Linked DNA regions of Rhinolophus ferrumequinum. The protein of the gene in region 2 interacts with the protein of the main gene of each other region in a biochemical or structural test. Links are inferred from orthologs where the notes say so. Each region holds a gene or a part of one and is shown on either strand. Other genes may lie near its edges.

Region 1 (10,201 bases), on a different chromosome or scaffold from region 2:
ATGGCCAGAAAGTACCCAGAGAACACATGGCTTGAAGGACCGTCCAATAGCCTGAGTTTATCACAGCCAAAGCCCCCCCACGCCCTTCTCTTTTTGTGAAAGAGGAAGTGAGATTAACTTTACCACTTAGGAAAGTACAGGGGAGCCACCAGCTTGCTACCCTCTACCAAAGAGTCAGAAGGTTCATCAGAGGGCCCAGCTGTCCCCCAAAGCCTGAACTCCAGCTTGGCCTGGCCTTCTCCAAGCTAGGGCAAGGAGTGAACGGGAGCTCATCTAGGTTCGGCCCATTCGATGACTCCTACATCCCAAGACGTAGGTGGGGCTAAGCCAGGAGCCAGCAGGTTCAACGTCAGGTGCTACTGCTCGTGCAGAATCAGGCTGCCCAGGTGTCCCCAAGCCCTGGTCCCCTCCCTTCTCCCAGTCTCAGAATCTCCCTCAGTGAAGCTGTTTTAAGAAACAGACCTCACATTGACTCCAAGACACAGGTTGGTGACTTCACTGGCATCGTTTTAGAATTTCCCTTTGGCGGCATTTGTACTAAAAGCAATCTTTAGAAACTTTTCCCCCTGCCTCCCCCAACCAAGATAATTCCCATGACCAGCCCCCTCTAAAGAGTGACCATGTGAAGCCACAGCAGTCATGTGACACCTCCCAAGCTGACAGTTCTGGCTGAGACAGTACTAGTCATTCAATCCAGAGCCGCCTTCCTAAGCCTGACATTTGAGTTTCTCACTCAAACAAATCCATTTTCTTAGAAAATTGGACAACTGCCTCCTTCTACCTTCCTACCCTCTGTCCTGCCTGTTCTGCTTTGTCATAATTTCCACACTTAGAGCAACTGAGGAAGGGGCCTGAAGCCCCATCCGTTAGCCAAACCTGGTGAATTCCAGGCCAGAGCCCAGAGCATGACCAGGACCCCGTAGAAGTGAAGGATGCTGGGAGGCTTCAGCTATGTGGCGACACCCTATCCCTTCCCCACCACACTCAGCCAAGAAATTTGTTCTCACCTCCTAAGATTTATTTATTTCAAAGTTAATCTTGGCCCCTCTGCTGCTCCCACTTTTTCAGGCTATTGATGCTGAATGGATTGGAACGGAAGTTTTATGGCCTAATCTTTACCATTTTATAGATTGTTTTTATAGACAAAAGGGGGAGATTTGCTCACAAGAAGGGTGGTGGTATTCCCAGCCAGCGCCCCGGGAAAGGCAGGCTGTCCATCTGAACACTTGTTAACCAGTGTCACCGCTCATTTGCCAGAAACTGAACCACAGGGTCCTGGTTGGAGAAGGGTCTGGAACAGATATTTAGAAATTAGCTTGGGCCCAGTTCCCTGCTTTAGGAAAAGTAAGCACCTGTGAGAGACACTCACGAATTTCCAGGCCTGGAAGAATGAATGCTAAGGCAGGAATTGGGACTGTGCACGGTGTACATGGCCAGCTCAGACAGGAAGGAGCAGATAGGAGATGCCACTCACCAGAGAGATATGAAATATAACCGTGCTTCCTTCTGCCCAGCAAGGACCTGACTATAACTGAAGGACCCGGGGATGGAGTGGGGGGATGCCTACGTGCATCCCCGGGTTCAGGGGAAACTGTAGAGCAGAGAAAAGCAGCTGTTTAGCCCTACTTCTCCCTCCACCCACTCTGCTAGTTCTCCCTTTCTCACTGCTTTCAGATGGTTACCAGTCTCTAGGCAAATGGAAGGGTGGGGGGAGAGACACTGAGCTTATTTTTGCCTCCTTCCTCAAGAGAGGCAGGCGCAGAGACCCCTCTGCCAACGACAACACAGCTTCAATAAACCAAAAAACAAGATCCCCATTTCTCTCTCCCACCGCCCCCCCCCCCCACTCCTTCAACGCCAGTTCTCAGCCTCCTCCGTGCCCTCCCAGGAGACCCATGGTTTTGCAAAACCCCTTTAAGAAGCAGGACTCCTGAATGATGACCTCACCCCTTGGTGAACACATGCTAGCTTTCAGTGCCTGCCTGCTGGAGAGAGACAGGTGTTTGATGTAGGCCAACAAAAAGACATGCTCAGAGCCACAGGTAATAGCCCCACAGAGCCCCTGAACAGCAGGGAGCTGCCTGGCAGCCTGGGGAAGGCAGGAGGAAGTGGTGTGGTGGGGCAGGAGAGGAGCAAGGAGCACGGCCATCCAGTGAGAGGCTCTGGCAACTCCGGGGAAAATTCAGTGTTTTCATATCAGGATCTGTTGACCACAGCAGCTTACCCCAGGGTTACCTGTGGCCTCCCTTCTCTCTCCCGATACACACACTCACACTGTTTTACTCTGCGTACCAGAGGGAATGCTCCTGCTTCCCTTATTGCAAGTCTGCTTCTGTTCCATCCCAGGCAGTACCTGGAAGACCTCTGCCCCCACCCCCTTCTTTCAGACCCTGAAGTCAAACAAGTGGAAAGCATCAGTCCAGGGAGAGAGCTTCTAGGGAAGCCAGGGGTGCCTTGCTCTGAAAGATGCTGACAGCCTGCCTCCCCCTCCAGATTGGGCAGGGGCTGGGTGAAGCAACTCATCTGGGTATGTCTGTCCCAGTGCCCAGCTCAGTGCCACACAGTCAGAGTCGGGAGAGACTGGGTTCTACCCTTGGCTGTGTGACCTTGGACAAGTCGCTGGCCCTCTCTGGGCCTCGGTTTCCGCTCCTGTAACCCTGGTTGCAGGCATCTCTACCCCTATTACTGCTAACATTGCCGAGTGGCTCCCGGTGGCAGGCTGAGGGGCCTGATTCCGCAGTTTAGGGGACAGCAGCAGGGTGGGAGGGCGCTTACCTGTACTGAAGCAGGACACGGCGATCAGCAGGCAGAACAGCGGCCTGAGGCGGCCGGGGGCCAGGCCGGCGGGCTCCATGGGCCGCGGCTGAGGAGCGAGGAGGGAGAGCGGCCGTGAGTGCGCGCTCGGGCGGGCGCGGGCTGGAGCGGGGAAATGACTAAGGCTCCCCCCCTTCCTCCTCCCCTCTCTCTCCTACTGGCCGGGCTTCCCCCCCTCACCGGAATGAGCGCCCGGAGCGGCTTAGGAGCTGCCGTCACGGCGGCGATTTTCGGAGAACGTCCCCCCACCCCCCGAAAAGATCGAGAGAGAGAGAAGGGGACAGACCCCAAGCGCGCCAGAAAGAAAGCCCGGGCGGCCGGAGAGGGGCGGCAGGAGAGGGAAATAGAGCCAGGGGAGCCAGGGAGAGAGCCAGAGGCACAGAAAGGCGAGAGAGGGGGAGAAAGGGGGGGGGAGAGAGAGAGAGAGAGAGAGAGAGAGAGAGAGAGAGAGAGAGAGAGAGAGAGAGAGAGAGAGAGAGAGAGAGAGAGAGGCGGCGCGCAGATCGAGACAGACAGCGCGGGAGAGAGGAGGACCCCGAGCCAGGGCGGACGGCAGCCCCGCTAGCCGCCCCCACCGCTGCCCACCTGCCCTGCCCGGGCTCCTAGCGGCGTCGGCGACTCGCCTCTCTCCTGGCCACAGTCCGAGCCGCGGCCCCCACCCGCCCGGCCGCGGCCCCCTCCCGCCTCCCGGTTCCTCTCCTCGCTCCTGCTCTCACGGGGGGGCTGCAGGTCTCTGGCTGCGCCGGCACCCTCTTGGAGAGCGCCCTACAGCAGCGCGCCCCGGGGAGGGAGGGAGCGAGGGCTGGTGTCGAGCGCCGGGTCAGGAGGCCAGCGTTGCCCCTCGCCCGTGCCGCCGCCCGGGCACCCAACCCCCTCCCGGGCCCACGGCTGCAGCCCCGGGAGGCGGCCCGCCCGCCCCCGCCGCCGGCCCACCGCGCTCGGGCTGGGGACTGGACCAGCCTCCGCCTCCAACAATGTGCCAGTTCAGAAGCCCGAGCGGCTGTCACCAGTCCCCAGCCGCTCCCTTCCCCGTCCCCCTCCCACTGCCTGCCCGGCTCGGACCTGCGCCGCCAGCGAGGGCTGGAAGGCTGTGGAAGCGCCGCTGGGGCTGCCCAGGGCCGGGCCCCCCGCTCCACTTTGCGCAAACTTGTTTGTCTAAGGTCAGCGCCGCGAGCTGGCTACATCGTCCTCTTAAGGTGGACTGGGGAAGTTGCGCCCGGCCTCCCCTGCCTCCGGACTCCGTCGCGGTCAGTCCCTGCTTCCCTTTAGCGAGAGGCTGGAAGCCGCGAAGGAGTGGGGGAGTAGAGGGGGGATGGGGGTGTCTGCCTTTTCCCCTCCCCAAGTGGCCCTGACCCTGTGCCCCAAAGCTGAAGGCCGCTCTTGGAGGTGGGCTTGGGCCAAAGAGGCCCCGATTCTTTCAGAGCTGGGCCGAGGTGACGGAAAAGCAGGAAGTAAGTGAATGTAGGGGGAAGGGGGAGAGGAAGGAGAGAGTGATCATACAAAAATAGCGTGTGTGTAGGAAGGACTTCGGTGCCGCCTGGAAAAGAGGCGCAGCGAGGAGAATGAGAAAGAAGAGGGGCTGTGGCCCGGGAAACTACAGGGGAAGGGTCGGGCCTCCCTAGGGAGGTGGGCTCTCTCTGTCAGGTGCCTCTTTCAGGGGTGGCAGATTTGGGGGGTGGAGGAGAGAGAGGATTTGAAGGCCTGGGTTCTGGGAAAATGACAGATAATGAAGAAGGTGAGAGGAAAGGAGGGGAACAGAGGCAAGAGGCCTGGAGTATTCGGAGAGGACAGAGCCTCTATCTATATCTATCTATCTATCTATCTATCTATCTATCATCTATCTATCCATCCATCCATCCAACATTCTACCTACCTACCTACCTACCTACCATCCCAAGTCAGTGATAGGCAGTGGGAGTGCTGGTTACCCGGCCAAAGGTAACTCCAGACTGTGGGAGGGAAAGGAGTCCAAGACCCTCTGCTAATTGGAGGGTTTGGGACTTGGAAATACACAACAACCAATTTTGCTTCGCGAGTCTGTTAAGAGCATAGGAATGAAGCAACAAAAGGGAGTTGAGGCCCAGAGAGGAAGTGGACTTGTCTAAGGACACAGAGCAAGGCCTGGGGTAGAAACGAGGTTTGAATTTCTGATTCCCAGGCTAAATAAAATGAAGACTTTTGCAAAGTGACACCCCCACTCCCACCCCAGCCTGCCTGTCAGATGCCTAGTCCTGGTGTATTAAGACAGGGAGGTAGGAAGGGCGCAACTGCTGAGCGCATGGGCCAGACTCCTTGGATTCAAATCCGGCCAGCTACCTCTTATGAGCTGTGTAGACTTGGGAAAATGGCTTATCCTGTCTGTGCCTCAGTTTCCTCATCTGAACTTAGGCTAACATGAGTATCAACCTGAAAAAGTTGCTGTGAGGATTGGATGAATTAATATTTGTACACTTTAAAGAGTGCCTAGCATGTCCTAAGTGCTACATAATATTTGATAAATAAGTATAGTGTTTGACAACAGTCCTTAGGGAGCCCACAGGATTCTGGACAGTATTTGAAGTACAAGGGAAAATTTTTTTTCTTTAGGTGTGGGAGATACAGCAGGGAATCATACAAGGTCCCTGTCCATGAGACATTTACATTCTAGTGGGAAGACAGATAAGTCGACAAGTAGAAATAATTAATGAACAACAGAAGATTGAGCTCAGAGAGTGAGAAGGGCACCCTCATTTAGATAAGGGTAAGTCTTCCCTGAGAAGCTGGGAGCTGAATCGTAAGAAGGGGCAGCAAGGTGAGGATTTGGGGAAGAGGGAACAGCACATATAAAGGCCCTGGGGCAAGTGTGGCTGGAGGGAATGTGCGATGGATGGGGGAGAGGGATTCAGCTGGGTGGCCTTGCAGGCCTTGGTAAAGTGCCTGCATTTATTCTGCAGGGAGGAAATCATTGAAGGGTTTAAGCAGGGGAGCCCCATGGTCTGATTCATGCGTTTAAAAGGCCACTCTGACTGCTAGTGGAGAGTGGGCTGCAGGAAGGGGAGCGTAAAATCAGCACAGTGAGGAGGTTGTTCTGGGGTCCTCCTAGTATTTGAAGTGGGATGTAGGGAACCTCTAACTCTTTAGGCCACGTCTGGCCAAGACCATGAAGGTGACCAGCTGAGAGTCCTGAGAAAATCCATCATTGGAATCCACCTGGGGTGGGAGTGGGAGCAAGGGCAGCTGGTGAAGGTCAGCGATGAGGCAGGCACCTGGCCTGGGCTTCCAGAAGTTTCTGCCATCCATTCACTATTTCCCAGGATACACACACACACACACACACACACACACACACACACACACACGGAGACCTGCCTGGGATTAGGAAACTGAGGATTAGGGAAGGATTATTATTGAACCACCTGCTGTTTATATGTAGCACTTGGGCACAGGCACCCAGCAGGGCTTCTTAACACCAGGGCCCTTTCATCCTCACCTCCACCCCAGAAGGAGGCCTGGGCCTTGTTCTCCTGATTCAGTCCACAGAAAAATCACCCTTGGCTGACCATCATGCCTGGGAGGTCACCGAGACCATTCGGCAGCTGGGTATACTGAGGTTGGAGGACAATTTGTCTGAGGTCACACAGCGAGATTATGGCAGATAATTGAAGAGAATCAGCCACCTCCATAGGAGGCATCCTGGGCTGCCCTGGATTAAAACTGAATTGCCTTCATACATATACCATTCATTCATGCACTTAACAGTATTTATTACACTCCTACTATGTTCCCGGCATTGAGCTAAGCACTGAGGATGAAGCAGGTGAGAGAAAACAGACAAAACCCCCTGCCCCAAGGAGCTGACATTCTAGTGGGAGCGAATAAACAAACCAGTACATAAAATATTTAGTCTGTCAGACATGGATAAAGCTATATGAGGAAATAAAGCAGGCAAGGGGACCAGGAGGGCCTATGAGAGGGGAGAGGGTCAGGGAAGGCCTCAGAGGAGGTGATGTTTGAGTGAAGACCTGAAAGATTTGAGATGGAAAGCCAGAGGCGGCTCCATCCTGCGTGGCTCCCAACTCTTCTGTCACTCCCCGTGTGCAATCTGTCAGCTGCACATCCCACTGGCTGGACCTTGTCTTCACGTCTAGAACCAAATCACTTATCAGCGTCTCTGCTGCCGCTACCGCCCTAGTCTAAGCCTCCACCATCTCCCACCTGGGCACCTTCTTTCTACGTTTCCCCCCTCTTCCTCCATCTATTCTCCACTCAGCAACCAGAAGGGATCCTTTGATAGAAGTCAGATCATATCCCTTCCTGTTGCCCAAGACCTGCTGGGAAGAAGACTAGAATGAGCTCAAGGAGGGGAGGGTCAGGGGTTTCGAAGCCAAGATGCTGCCAATTTAACTTCTGTGACTAGGGAAAATTTTTTTTTTAATGAGCCTCAGTCTCTTCATCTGTGAAATGGGAATAACCAGGTCTACCCTGATCCCAGAGATAGTAGTGGCACAGGTGTGAAAGCAACCATGGCGGGAGCATATCTGGAGTTTGCCTCTGCAGGTGGGGTGATGGTTCCTCTGTGTGTGCCAGGCCCCTCCATATGCATTGTCTCACTGAAGCCTCAGCAACTTCACTGTGTTGTCAAAGGTGGGGAAACAAGACCAGAGGCAGAATGCAACTCGACCAGGGTCACTTTGCCAGGGCATGCTGGAACCTGCAGGGACCCAGCTCTGCCTGGCACCAGCCCTGCCTGGGCTCAGCTCCTCACTTCCCGTAACCCTGGACTGGCGTCAGCAGGCAGGCCCGCCAGGCCGCCTTTGTGTAGGGCCTGTCAGGAGGCTGGAGCTGCCAACGACCTATTTTTCTGGGCAAGAGGAACCATTTGGAGTGAGAGGCCTCAGCTTTGGAGCCAGAACAATAAAAATAAAAACAGCAAGGTCTCCTGGGCGGCCTGGACCAGGGAACCAACAGCCCCAGAGAGGAGCTGCTGACAGGCTAGAGAGAAAGTGGGGTGGGGACAGGAGGAGGGAGTGCCCTTACCGCACCCCGGCGCTGTTCTCTGATCTGTATGTGGGTTATCGCCAAGGCTCCTGGCAGCCATTTTATAGCTGCAGAAACCGAAGTTCAGAAGGATGGAGTCACTTGCCGTGGACACTCAGCTAGTGAGGGGCCGAGCCAATTAGGATTTGAACTTTGTTCTTCAAATAACAACAGTTCCTATTTGTTGAACATCTACTATACTTTCACAGGCATGTTCTCGTGACATGTTCACACCGTACCTGGGAGGGGGTGCCATTAATTCGCTTTACAGACAAGAACGCTGCCTTAGAGAAGTCTCTGCTCACAGGTCACCTCCTCAGAGAGGCCTTGCCAGACCTCCTTGTTAAAATAGTCACCCCCACTCCAACCCACCCCAATGGACTCCATCCCTTTGCCTACATTATTTTACTTCAAAGCACGCATCACCACCTGCCAGTGTTATGTGTCTTTATTGCATTTTGTCTGTTTTCCTTAACTAGCCACAAATCAGGCCAGCCCAATGGCTCAGTGCCTAACTCTGGAAGCGCACCTATGGCTCAAACCCCAGCACTGCCTCGGACTAGCCCTAAAGCACGTTACTTTGACCATCTGTGCATCACCCACCCGATTCAGGTAATGATAGAACGGTACCTAAAGGTTTCTTGTAGGGGTTAAATGAGTGAATATAAGTAAAGATGTTGGGTATCACCACTGTTTTCTTCCACCACTGAAGCCTAGGGCTTTCAGCAGTAAACAGAAGGTTGTCAATAAATAGGTATTCAATGTAAAAAATGACCTGCCCAAAATCACACAAGACACTGGCAGAGCCTGGATTTGAAGACACATCTCTCTGAGCCTGGGCTTCGATGCACCCCATGTTATAATCACCTCTTCACAGCACGACCCCTTCCACCATAGCCGCACAGGACTCGAAGCTGTGGTTCCCCAATTGAGCAGGCATGAGCGTCACTTGGAGGGATTGTTAAACAGGGATTTCCGGGCCCCCGCCCCCAGAATTGCTGATTCAGCAGGTCTCCGGCAAGGTCTGAAAATCAGTGCTTCTAACAGGCTCCCAGGTGCTGCCGATGTTGCTGGTCCGGAGACCACACTTTGAGAACCGCTGAACAGACTGTGGTTCATGAGCCCAGCCCCAGATCATTGGTTGATCTGTGGATCCCTCTGTTTTCTGTCCTCACCTCACCAGGGGAAGCAAAGTGGGTGACAGCACTGGCTCAGAAACAGCAGCCAGTGCCCCGAAGCTGAGAGGCAGTGACAGATCACAGAGCCAGGGCTGGGGGGGAGCCATGCTGTAATTAGTGCTTTCCTGGGGAAGTTAGCGACTCAGTGACTCAGCAGGCAAACAAGCATCTCTTCGAGCCTGTCAGGGGTGGGACTGCGCTGTCAGGCCCTAAACACTGTTCTCAGGCTCTGGGGATCTGGCTCTGCCAGAAACTGAGCCCAGCTGTGCAGAGCTGCTGCTCCCCACACAGCCCTGGGTGTGGGGTCCCTGCAGGGTACTGCTGTCGTCAGGACAGACGGCTGACTGCCTCAGCGTACACTGAGAGACCTGAGTTCAAGTGCTGTCTCTGCCTGATACTAATGCTAATAATAGCAAAAATGTAGGAGCGCTTATTAAGCCCAAGCCAGAAGGATTTCAGCAGATGCGCTCATGCTTCTTAGTCCCTCTTTTTTTTTTTTTTTATTTATTGGGGTGACAATAGTCCCTCTTTTATGCGGACATAATTCTTATTCCTATTTCTCAGATGAGAAAACTGAAGCACAGAGAGGTTAAGGGGCTTGTGCAAGAGCACACAGCCTGCGAGCTGCAGAGTTTGGCTTTGAATCCAGGCTTTTTCATTACTCAGTCTCTGCTCCCAACCTCTGCACATTCTGACTTTTGCTTTGCTGTGTATGAGTCTGGGTGGCCCCGCAGTGCCTTTTCTGAGTCTCCCTCACCGCCCAGGGGCTGGCTTGATGATTTCCAGGCCCCGCTGAGGCTCAGCACCCACTTGCTGATGCACTGTAGGCACGGGAGGATCGGGTGAATGACATAATGAATGAACAGATGGATCTAACTCTTCCCAGTGGTGATGGGACAACAGAGCCCAGTGGCTGAGAGCTTGCCCCTCATTAGCTGTGCAGTCTTGGGTGGGTCTCAGCTTCCGTTTCCTTCTCTGAAAACAGCTTGGGGGCAGGATTAATGGATAAAAAGAGTGGCAGGGGAGAGCTAGAGATAGAGATAAAGAGAGAGTGACAGAGAGAGAGAGAGAGAGAGACGCAGACAACAGCTGAGAACCATGGCTGACGCTTGCCTCTGTCCCATCTTCTCCATCTCAGTTCCGCCTTTGCAGTTCTCAGGCAAAATCGCTTGGTATCCTCCTTGAGCCCTCTC
Region 2 (9,927 bases):
TGTCCCCAAAACCTGAATATGCTCCTCAGCCCACACCCCCACTCACCTCCAAACTCCCCCTCTCCAATCTGCGCTCCCAGAGTCAAATGCTGCAGGTTTAGTAACCAGCCGGCTGTGGGATGAAGACCTGGTCAGAAGGATAACAGGCTCCCCAAGTCCCTCCCCTCGGGGGAACCACCTGGTGAGACACACCCGGGCACATATTCAGGTGGCCGCTATTCCCAGCGATGGTCCAAGGGCATGGCTGATGTACCCAGTCCTGGTACCATTTTATCATGTGGTCGAAGGCAACAGAGCCTCCGATTCAGGGCTGCCTATCTCTCTTCTACCTGGAGACTGTGTCCCTCCAAATACCCCAAATGCTCTTCCCTTTATCGTCCTTTACCTCTGGCCACCCAGGAATATACACAAAGCAAAAAAACACAACAGACAGGGAGACCAGCAAAGCTTCTAGACCCTTCCAGGGCTGTACGTCGTGGTCTGTGCTCGCCTCCCTGACCCTTGTCACAGCAGGCCAGTGTCCTCCCCGCCTCCCCCCCAGCAGGTTCTATAGGCCTCCCCCACCCCCCACCCCCCCGCAAACCAGGAGCTCCTTAGGTACATCAGGAATGGAATGGTGACACCGCCTCCACCCCGTGCCATCCCCAAGACGGCCAGATCTCCCCAGGAGATACTCGTGCTTTCAAGGAGACAGCCACGGGTGTCAGGTTCCAAAGACCGTAGGGGTGGCTGTGGTTGGGGGCATTTGCTTTGGGCCTTGAATATTGATGATTTCACTACACAGAAGCTGAAAAAGCATTTCTGGTAAAGGTAACAGAAAGCACAACAGCAGGGAGGCATGAAAGGAAATGAGTCACGGGGGAGGGGGGTCTTGTGAATGGAAGAAGGGTCCTGTAGGTGAGGCAGGAAAGAAGGCTCAGTCACAAGAGAACGTTCTAGAAGGCGGAAAAGCTGCAGGGCCTCCCTCCTTTAAGCAGGGGAGCAATGTGGGTGGGCTATCATGGTAGAAAGCTGCCTCTGGGGGCACACACTTAAGGGTCTAAGGTCGGGAGGAAGGGGGACTGCCCCCCGGAAGAATGTGGTCTGATGGAAAGGTGTGAGGTCAGGTAGGGTGTTAAGTGATGTTAGAACCTGACCATGAAGGGGATGTGGGCGGGTGGGTGGGTTGAGGTTTTGGGCCAGGTTTCCAGCTCAGGTGACAGGGCGTGATAAGGACCCAGGTGTAGGAAGTAGCAGATGTGGGAACCTGCTCAATCTTGAGATGATCAGTGTCTGTGAGTGCCCTTTGCCCAACCCCGGGAGAGCCCAGGCCTTCCACCTGTAGTGCCAGGCACGGCGCCATACTCAAATGCTGTGGCATTAGCCCCATGCCGGGCCCCAGGGCCCTGACCTCCCAGGGGGGAGAATGTGGGTGGAGAGGGCGCAGACCCCTACCCTTGGCTAGCTCCTCCTCCGCAGATTTGGCCCCCGGCTTCCTCTTGGGTTTCACGAGTTTTGTGCAGATGGCCCCCTTGTCCTTGCTGTAATGCTGCAGGGCAGGACGGGGCAGAGGTGGTCGTGAGTCCAACCCTGGGGTGTGGGGAACCCCTGCATCCTGTCCCCTTCCTGGGGGGTGGTCTGGATGGGGTGGGCAGGAGCTGATGAGAAGGAGAGGGGTTTGGGTCTCACAGGATGTGTTGGGCTGGTTTGCATGGAAACAAGAAAGTATGGAGGCTAGGGGGGAAACAGGGAAGATGGGGAGGTCTCTGGATTGGTGTCAACTTGGAGGTTCCTGAAGGTCCCTGAAGGAGCCACCCCAGTCCTTGGAGGTGGGACCTAGAGGACTCAGACCCCCTAGAGAGTTGGTGGTCCATGGGGACCAGCTGCTTCTCTGCACTGGGGAGCATGCGTCTCTGGGTTCTGGGGCGCACCTCCACCATATCCATGAGGTTGCAGAAGCAGACGGCCTCGTCAATGGTCAGGTGGCCATCGCGGTGCAGCACGCGATAGTGGATGACATCTCGGCCGAAGCTCACGCACAGCACGTAGTCACCTGGATGTCGCACTGACTCGCGCACCAGAAACAGTCCATCCTCAGGCGGCTGCAGCAGCTGCACCGCCTCCTGGCCTGAGATCTTCCCATGGAACCACCTGTGGGGGCAGAAGGGCAGGCTGGACTGGGCTGGCCAGGCCCTCCTGGCCCCCCCATTCCAGGACGCCCCACAACTCACGGCATGAGGCTGAGCTTGGGGTCAGTGGAGAGGGCCTCACGCTCCCGGAGTGCGCCGGCTGCCAGCAGCCCCTCCTGCCCGCTGCTGTGGTGCTTGGCGCGGTACCAGCTCTTGCTCTGCCAGGGAGGGAGCCAGGGGTCCGTATGTGTGTGTTTGTGTGTGTGTGGGGGTCCTGTCCCCAAACACACCCAGGCCCTCTGGCTACTGCTCACCTCACAAGCCTCCAGGATGGTGACCACGTCACCCTTGCGAAAGGCCAGCTCTCCAGGCTTGGGGCGCATGTGCTCACACTTGGTGATGCATTGGGTACCTGGGGCCCAGCGCCTCTGGGTGAGGGGGTGAGGGAGAGGGGCAAAGGGGACATGAGGGAGATGCCCCGGAGAGAGAAAGATTGGACCGAGACAGAACAAAAAACAGAAAGAAAGAGCGAGAGGAGGAGAAAGGACAAGGGAGCTGCCAACAGAGATTTATTAGAGTCTCAAACACCAGGTGCTCAGTACAGGTCAGGAAGAAAAGGTGAAAGAAATGCAACACCAAATAACAGAAAGCCTGGGAGACAGCAGCTACAGGGACAAGGGTCAGAGTACAGTCCTCCTCCCTGTGGAGCTGAGGTCCTGTGGGCGTGGACTGAGCTGAGGAAGGGCCGAGGCCACAGGCACCCAGGTCGAGGTACTCACCGTGGGCATCCTGGCTAAGATGGGTGGAGGAGTGCCAGGCACAGAGGAAGCGAGGGCTCACCTGGGGAGGAGGCAGAGACCAGCTGGAGAGCCCAGATTCACCCCATCACTACCAATTCCAGCCCAAGCCGGGTCGGAGGGACAGCCAGGGGCAGAGGGGCTCAGGTATAGCTTCCCGAAGGCCATTTGGGAAGGTGGCCTTTACCCAGGGGAGTTCCTTAGCAGAGTCACAGCCATGAAACACCAGCAAGGAAACCGTGGAGCCTCGCCCCACCATGGTTCCCAAAGGGAAACTGAGGCATAAGGTGGGCACAGAGCTAGTGGCCACAGGCTGGGGAGGGGACAGGTACCTAGCTCAGGCCCCAGCAGCCCACACAGCACATGGGGAGCTTGGTGCCACCTAATCGACCCTGGTTCTTCCTCTTTTCTGGTGAGTGGGCAGGAACAGGGCAGACAAATACAGAATGATTCAAGGTCATTCCCAAGGAACTCTGACCCAGAGGTGGGGCGGAGGCTGTGGAGCCCTGCTGGGCTCCTCTGGCCACCAGCCAAACCTCTCTGACTCCCCCACCCCAACCCAGGACTGACACACACACTCCTTCATTGCTGCTTGGTTGGGGACTTTTCCACCCCTTGCCACCCCCATCTACCCTACCGCAAGTGGCTGGACAGTGGGGCAAGTTGCGGGGTGAATCTTGGTTCCTCCAATGTGCACCCCCATAAATCTTCAGCCCTACGTGTACTCACACCTATACTGATCCATGTACACACAAGCACATACAGAAACACACAGGGCTTGGACACAGGTGGACACAGGTACCCACAGGCACCCAGGTGTGTAAGCAAAGGCATGCCCCCCTAGAGACAGGTGTGCACACGCCTCTACATGTGTGTACACATGCGCAGGTGCTGGGACATCTGGAAACGTGTGCATCTGCCCACCCACTAACACACACAGACCCATACTTGAACACCTGGGCACCAAACGCTGGGCCACCCAGGCACGCAGAGCTACACACAGGGCCGCGCACACGCATCTCCGCCACACGCGCACATGCCTCCACGTGGACGCGCTGATACACACACCTGGGGGCTCGCAGACGCGCACACCCCCACCCAGACTACTCCCCACCCCGCGCTTGATTGCCTGTAACCACCCCCACCTCAGCAGCGTACCCGTCGCGCGCCCCGGACGTGCACACTCGAGCGCACACCGGCCCCTCCCGCGAACGCCCGGGTCCCCATGGAGCCCTCTGGTTCGCTTCCACTGCCCCTGCGGTCTCTACCCCCAATCCCGTCACCGCGCTCACCTGCTCAGGGGGCGTCCCCGGGCCGCGCCCCGCCCCCGCCCCCAGGAGGGCCCCCGCGTGCCAGCTGCGCACCCCCAAGGCGGGCCCCGCTGCACAACTTGGTGCAAGTTCCTCCGTTTCCTCATTTTGGGGGTGGAGGAGAGGTAGGGTGGCCGGGGAGCGGGAGGTGCCGCGGCCAGGGAGGATCCCGCGGGTCCTAGCGCCGGCCGCACTGCGGTCTGCTCTGCGCGCCGCCGCGGGCCCCTCCCCGCCCTGCCTCCGCGGTCCCCGGCACCTCCCGCGCGGCGCGGGGGGCGCTGGAGACTCTCACCGGCTCCACGCCTCTCCCTGGCCTGGTGCTGAGGGGCGCGCACCCCAGCTCATCCGGACAAGCGGAGGCCTTGGAGTGTGGAGCAGGTGGCACACCGCGCGCGCGCGCGGAGTGGAGTGAATGAGCTGCCGGTCGGGGAGATAAGCAGGCGGCAGAGCCCAGACGACAAAATGGGCCCTTCGGACTCTGCCTTTCCAACGCCCTGTCACCTCCTCTGCCAACGGGACCTCATTTAATTACCTGTTGCTGTAGAGAGCTGTTGATGCCTGGCACAAAGAAAACTCCCCCAAAATGTCAACCGCTGCCAGTATCGTCATCATTATCGTTAAAGGAAAATTGGGGCCACAAGGGAAAAAATCGTGTGGAACTGGAAGCCTCCTGGCGGAGCAACCCTCCTTTGGAGAATAATGGTGGGTCCTGAGGCGGGAGCCAACCCAGCTGTGCCAGAGGCAGTACTGCCCCACTCTTGACCTCCCTTTCCTCCTCTGAAGGGCTGGGCAACACGGGCGTCCCCTCAGAGGACAGCTGGATGAGCACTGAATGGCCACGCACTGGGCCTGGCCTCCAGCCATGACTCCATTGCTTCTAACGGCAGAGTCTGCTCGGACAAGGGTGGAGCTGACCTTGGAGGGCTCTGAGTCAAGATGCCCAGAGAGCCCTGCTTCCCAGCCACTGGGCACTGCTCTGGTCCTAGGGTTGGGACCCTGCAGCCAGCATTCAGTCAGGGTGATGGGGGCCTACCATATATAGCAAGCCATCATCACTTTCCAGAAATAGAAACCCAGAGTGAAAATAGCCACAGAGGAAACCCACAGACAGCACCATTAAATGCTCAGCAGGGACTGCTATGGCCCCAGGCCCCACAGTGGAGACCTGCCTTCTTTGTTCAGCAAGGACAGGAGCCCATGTCTAAGAGGTTGAGATGCCCTAGCACCCCGTGGAGATGTTCTCCTTGACGTAGTCAGAGAGAAGGGAAGAGGGTCAGAAGGGGCTGGCTTTCTCCCTCTGCGAATAGGTACTTAGGGTCTGAGTAACACCTACATCCTCCCCAGGATGCCCAGGGGTCCATGTCCCACATTCTGGAAGGCCCTACCTCTGAGTGATCAGAGGAAGCAAAGGTGTTGAGACTGAGGACTGACAGATTTAAGGAGAAGGTGTTAGGTGCCCGAATCTCCAAGGGTTGGCCTGGGGAACAGGGAGCCCGCCCCCCATGGGTGTGGGCATGGGGCATTGAGCTGTGCATGACTTTAGGGGGATAGATTTGAGTCCATGGTTAATTTGGGTCAGAGCTACAGAAGGGGTGAGCTCCCCAATCCTAGAGGCATCCAATAATTGGCACTTTGAATCACAAAGACTCAATGGGTCTTCCAGTCCCCAGTGATGCAACACCCGTTTTCCTGCCTCCTGCTAGGAGCTGAAGGACGTGCCTCTCCCTTCTACCTGCCTGAAGCCAGTTGGTAGCCACACCATCGGGTCGGATACCAGAATTCCCCAGTCCTGGGCTCTTCACCCTCCACATTTCAGTCCTGTCAACTTGAGTCTGGAAATTCTTTGACCCACCCACCCCCAACCCCTGGACACCCATCTGGTGCAGGCTGGTGATAGAGCAGCCCCCTTTCTGGTCTCCCAACTGCCTCCAGTTTTTCTCCTTGTTACCATTCATCTTCCACTGCATCATCAAGGGATGAAAATGTGACTGTGGCCCTCTCCTGCTCTAAATCCTGCTATAGCTCCCACTGCCTGCAGGACAGAGCCTAAAACACTCAGTCTGGCATTCAGGGCTCTTCATATCTGGCCCCTCCCTGGCCTCCCTGGCCTCAGTTGCTTCTGCTCCCACCAAGCACCCAATAGTTTGGCAACTCTGAACTGCAGGAGTTAGCATGGTTTCGCATGGGCTGTCCCCTCTGCCGGAATGTGCTTCTCCCATCCAGATGGCATCTCCAGCTCATCCTTCACGCCCAGCTGAACCGACATCATTTTTATGAAGCCTTCTTCAGACACCTTTACCCTTCTCAGAGCAAGTCTAACTTCTATGTCCTGAAAGGACCCCTAGCTAGAGACACTAGCCATCTCATTTCACCGATGGGCACGGATCTGGCCTTGGGAACTGAGACCATTAGCCTGCCTGAGAAAAAGCCAGCCCAGAGGAAGCAGAGCCAGGAAACAGACTGAATACCACAGGAAGAATTCAAATCGTTGGATTCAGCCATGTCTGGAGGTCACGCTATGCCTAGCATTGGAAGCAGTTCTTTGCTTTTTGGTTGCTTTCAGGAGGTTACTGCCACTTGTAACCAAAAGAATTCCTAATACTGAAAATGGGACCAGAGTGGGGTGCTGAAATTAAATCTCTATGATGTGGAATTGGTGAGTCAGATTAGGTTGCCCTAAACCCAGCTAAGAAGAGGAATCTCTTCCCTTTCATGCCCTGGATCAGGTGGTGCTGTCTTCTGTCACTTGCAACAGAGAAACCCTGATGAACCCACCTTGTCCCCTGCCTGAATGCCTTTCTTTTGTTCATCCGAATCTCACTGTTCTTCGCATCTCACTGTTCTATTTTGACTGTTGTGATTTGCATAACCCTCTGTTCTTCAAACTCCTGGAGATTTTGGGGACCCATCCTCTCATTTTAGAATTGGAGCAGCTGAGACCCAGAGAGGCAAGGCTACTTGCCCATGGTAACACTGGGGCTAGAAGTCAGGCCTGCAGACACACCCAATGGAGTTGTAGACTTTTCAAAGGCAGGATATATTTCTTATTCTTTACAAATATGGACGAAAATCATTATAGGCAATAAACAAAAGAAGTCATGTGACAGGCACTTTACATAATGCATCAGTTAAAATTAGGATTGGCTGTGGGGGATGGAAGACCCCAAGTGTTAGAGGCTTGAATTACTAGGTAGAAATTAATGCTCTTTGAGGGAGGAAATCCTGTGTATGTCAGGGGCCCAGGCTCCTGCTATCTTGTTGCTCTGCCTTTGTCCACACTCAAACTTCATTCTCTTGATCTAAGATGGCTGCTTGAGCTCCAGCCCTCTCACCTATTGCATTCCAGTCAATAGGAAGCAGGAAGTTGGCAGAAAAGGGTACATTTCTTCATTTAAGGACTCTTCCAGTGAAACCCCAGGAGCAGAGGAATCTGGGAAATGTAGTCTTTACCCCAGCTCATCCTCCATGTCCATGAAAACTGGCACCATTTTTATGAAACCTTCTCAGACATCCATACCCTCCTCAGAGCAAGACCTCACTCCTATGCCCTGAAAGGACCCAAAAGGGCCAAGAGGGGGAGGCAGGAGCACTGGCATCCTCTTTCTCAAAGCTTCCAGGTTTGCTCCCACCTCATGGCCTTTGCGTTAGCTGTGCCTTCTGCCTGGGACACTTCCCCAGACATAACCAACATTATAGCAACCCTACAGAATATTTCAACCTTCTGACATGTTACATTCTCTTTCCTGTAGCTCTGTGGAGCTACCATGGTCTGACTGACCATATGTTTTACTTGTTTATCTTGTTTACTGGCTGTGTCCTTTCTAGAACATCAACTCCCCAGGGCAGGGATTTTGGACAGTGTCGTTCACAGCTGTGGTCAGTTCCTGGCACACAGTAGTATTCAGAAAGTATTTTTTTAAGCCAGTGAATATTGGGGAGGGGAGAGGGAATGAGCAGTGCCTGTCACCTGTGAGGCAAGCACTCTCATTGTACCCATTTCACAGATGGCAAAGCTGAGGCTCAGAGAGTGCTGAGGCTCACCCTATGACACAGGAAGTGGTGGGCTGGGCTTTGAACCCAGGCCCATCCAGCTCCAGGGCCCACATGCTGGTGCACGGCATAGTGGTGGGCACATGACAGACCACCAGAGAATGTGCCCATAATTGAAATTTCTGGATCTGGAGGGCAGGCAAGACAGGGCAGCTGCAGCCAGATGTGGGGATGGCTGCGCTGGCACCATGGCCCCAGAGGAGCCAGTGGCCAGATCAGACTGCCCCAATTAGCACACCTTTAAATTTAGCTTTCTCTTCCCTGCCAGGGGACTCAGGGATTCAGCGGAGGAACACTCTGCTCTTTCGAGGAAAAATGCTGCATCGCTCATCTTGCAACCAGAGCTGTGGTCGGCTGCATCATTCTTGACTTGGGGAACAAGGGCTCCTCCAAGCGACCTGCTTTGGGGTGCCAGGGGTGATCTGCCGTTAATGGGGGAGGCTGTCTGCTCTCCCCCCACATCCCTCGCCTGTTCTTCCTTGTACTGCAGGTGGAGCCAGGCATATCATTTCCCTGCCACGCTTGCAGGTTCACTGTGCGTAAACTGGGCCTGTGTCACTTCCTAGTTTACAACCTTCCCATGGCGCTGGCTGTGCTGGGGATGCAAGCCAAGCTCCTCACTGTGGCCCACCACTGGCTTGTCCACCATGGCTGCTGTCACCTCTCTGCTCTCAGCTCCCTCCACTTCCCCGGGCGTGGCTCTCTCGTGTTCCTCAAATGCTCCAGGCATGATCCAGCCTCAGGGCCTTTGCATGTGCTGTTTTCTCCTCTTATGACGTCCTTCCCTCAGCTCCTCTCAAAGATGGCTCCTTCTCATCATTTCTGGCTCCTTCAAGAGACCCTTCCTGACCACCCATAGTGACCACCCACCATCCAAGCCCAAAACACTGCCTGTCACCCTGTCTTACTTGTCCTCATCCATAGCCCTCCTGCCTCGCCTCGCTTGACAGAACGGATGCTCGTTAGAGAGGGCAGGGACTGCTCTGGCTTGGGCAATCACTTGTCTCTGGAGCCTAGTGCACAGCAGGCCCTCACAGAACAAATGAATAGAATCATATAAAGAGTGAAGACAGAGGAAGGAGAGCGGGATCCACAAGATACCACAAGGCAAAGCGTGTCTGTCAGAAGACTTGTCCCCAAGCCTCTGCTCCAGGGGTCCTCCCCAGCCCGTCCCCAGACCCTCATCCTCTAACTCAAGAGTTGGTCAACTTCCTCCGAAAAGGGCCAGATGATCTCTGTCTGGACTACTCAGCTCTGCTTTTGTAGCGCGAAAGCCACCATAGATGACATGGACGTCATCGGACATGGCTGCGTTCCAATAAAACTTTATTTATGGACACTGAAATCTGGACTTCGTATACTTTTCACATGTCATGCCACATTAAGACTTTTGATTTTTTCAGCCACTTAAAAATGTGAAGAGACATTTTTAGCTTGTGGGATGCATAAAAACAGACGGTGGGTAAGTGGGCTGTAGATTTCTGACCTCTGGTCTCTTTCAGCTTTTAATTTCTTAAAATAGGCACATTTTAAAATCTATTTGACCTGTAGGTGCACTTTTCAATCTAAATGGGTCGATATTCATGATATGTAGCAAGCTGTCAAGTGCTCTCCCAACTATAAAAAGCTCCCCGACTCAGCAATGAGCCCCTCAAAGTTATA

Evidence for each region.
Region 1: the proteins of MATK (region 2) and tyrosine-protein phosphatase non-receptor type substrate 1 form a complex in vitro, tested with the Homo sapiens proteins (3 studies listed by BioGRID, with this or other methods). The link is inferred for Rhinolophus ferrumequinum from reciprocal best matches to the Homo sapiens genes MATK and SIRPA.

The regions. Positions count from the first base shown.
Region 1 is NC_046306.1:24,327,221-24,337,421, reverse strand, and holds the start of tyrosine-protein phosphatase non-receptor type substrate 1, read right to left. Parts: upstream 4,187-10,201; 5' UTR 4,168-4,186; intron 4,146-4,167; exon of another isoform or gene 3,877-4,145; intron 3,767-3,876; exon of another isoform or gene 3,748-3,766; intron 3,737-3,747; exon of another isoform or gene 3,531-3,736; intron 3,527-3,530; exon of another isoform or gene 3,400-3,526; intron 3,167-3,399; exon of another isoform or gene 2,995-3,166; intron 2,954-2,994; exon of another isoform or gene 2,864-2,953; 5' UTR 2,855-2,863; coding exon 2,776-2,854; intron 1-2,775. UniProt on the Homo sapiens protein: Immunoglobulin-like cell surface receptor for CD47. Acts as docking protein and induces translocation of PTPN6, PTPN11 and other binding partners from the cytosol to the plasma membrane.
Region 2 is NC_046301.1:59,687,656-59,697,582, reverse strand, and holds the start of MATK (megakaryocyte-associated tyrosine-protein kinase), read right to left. Parts: upstream 4,649-9,927; 5' UTR 4,508-4,648; intron 4,406-4,507; exon of another isoform or gene 4,198-4,405; intron 4,147-4,197; exon of another isoform or gene 4,064-4,146; intron 2,949-4,063; 5' UTR 2,897-2,948; coding exon 2,888-2,896; intron 2,537-2,887; coding exon 2,423-2,536; intron 2,327-2,422; coding exon 2,211-2,326; intron 2,131-2,210; coding exon 1,911-2,130; intron 1,529-1,910; coding exon 1,435-1,528; intron 113-1,434; coding exon 47-112; intron 1-46.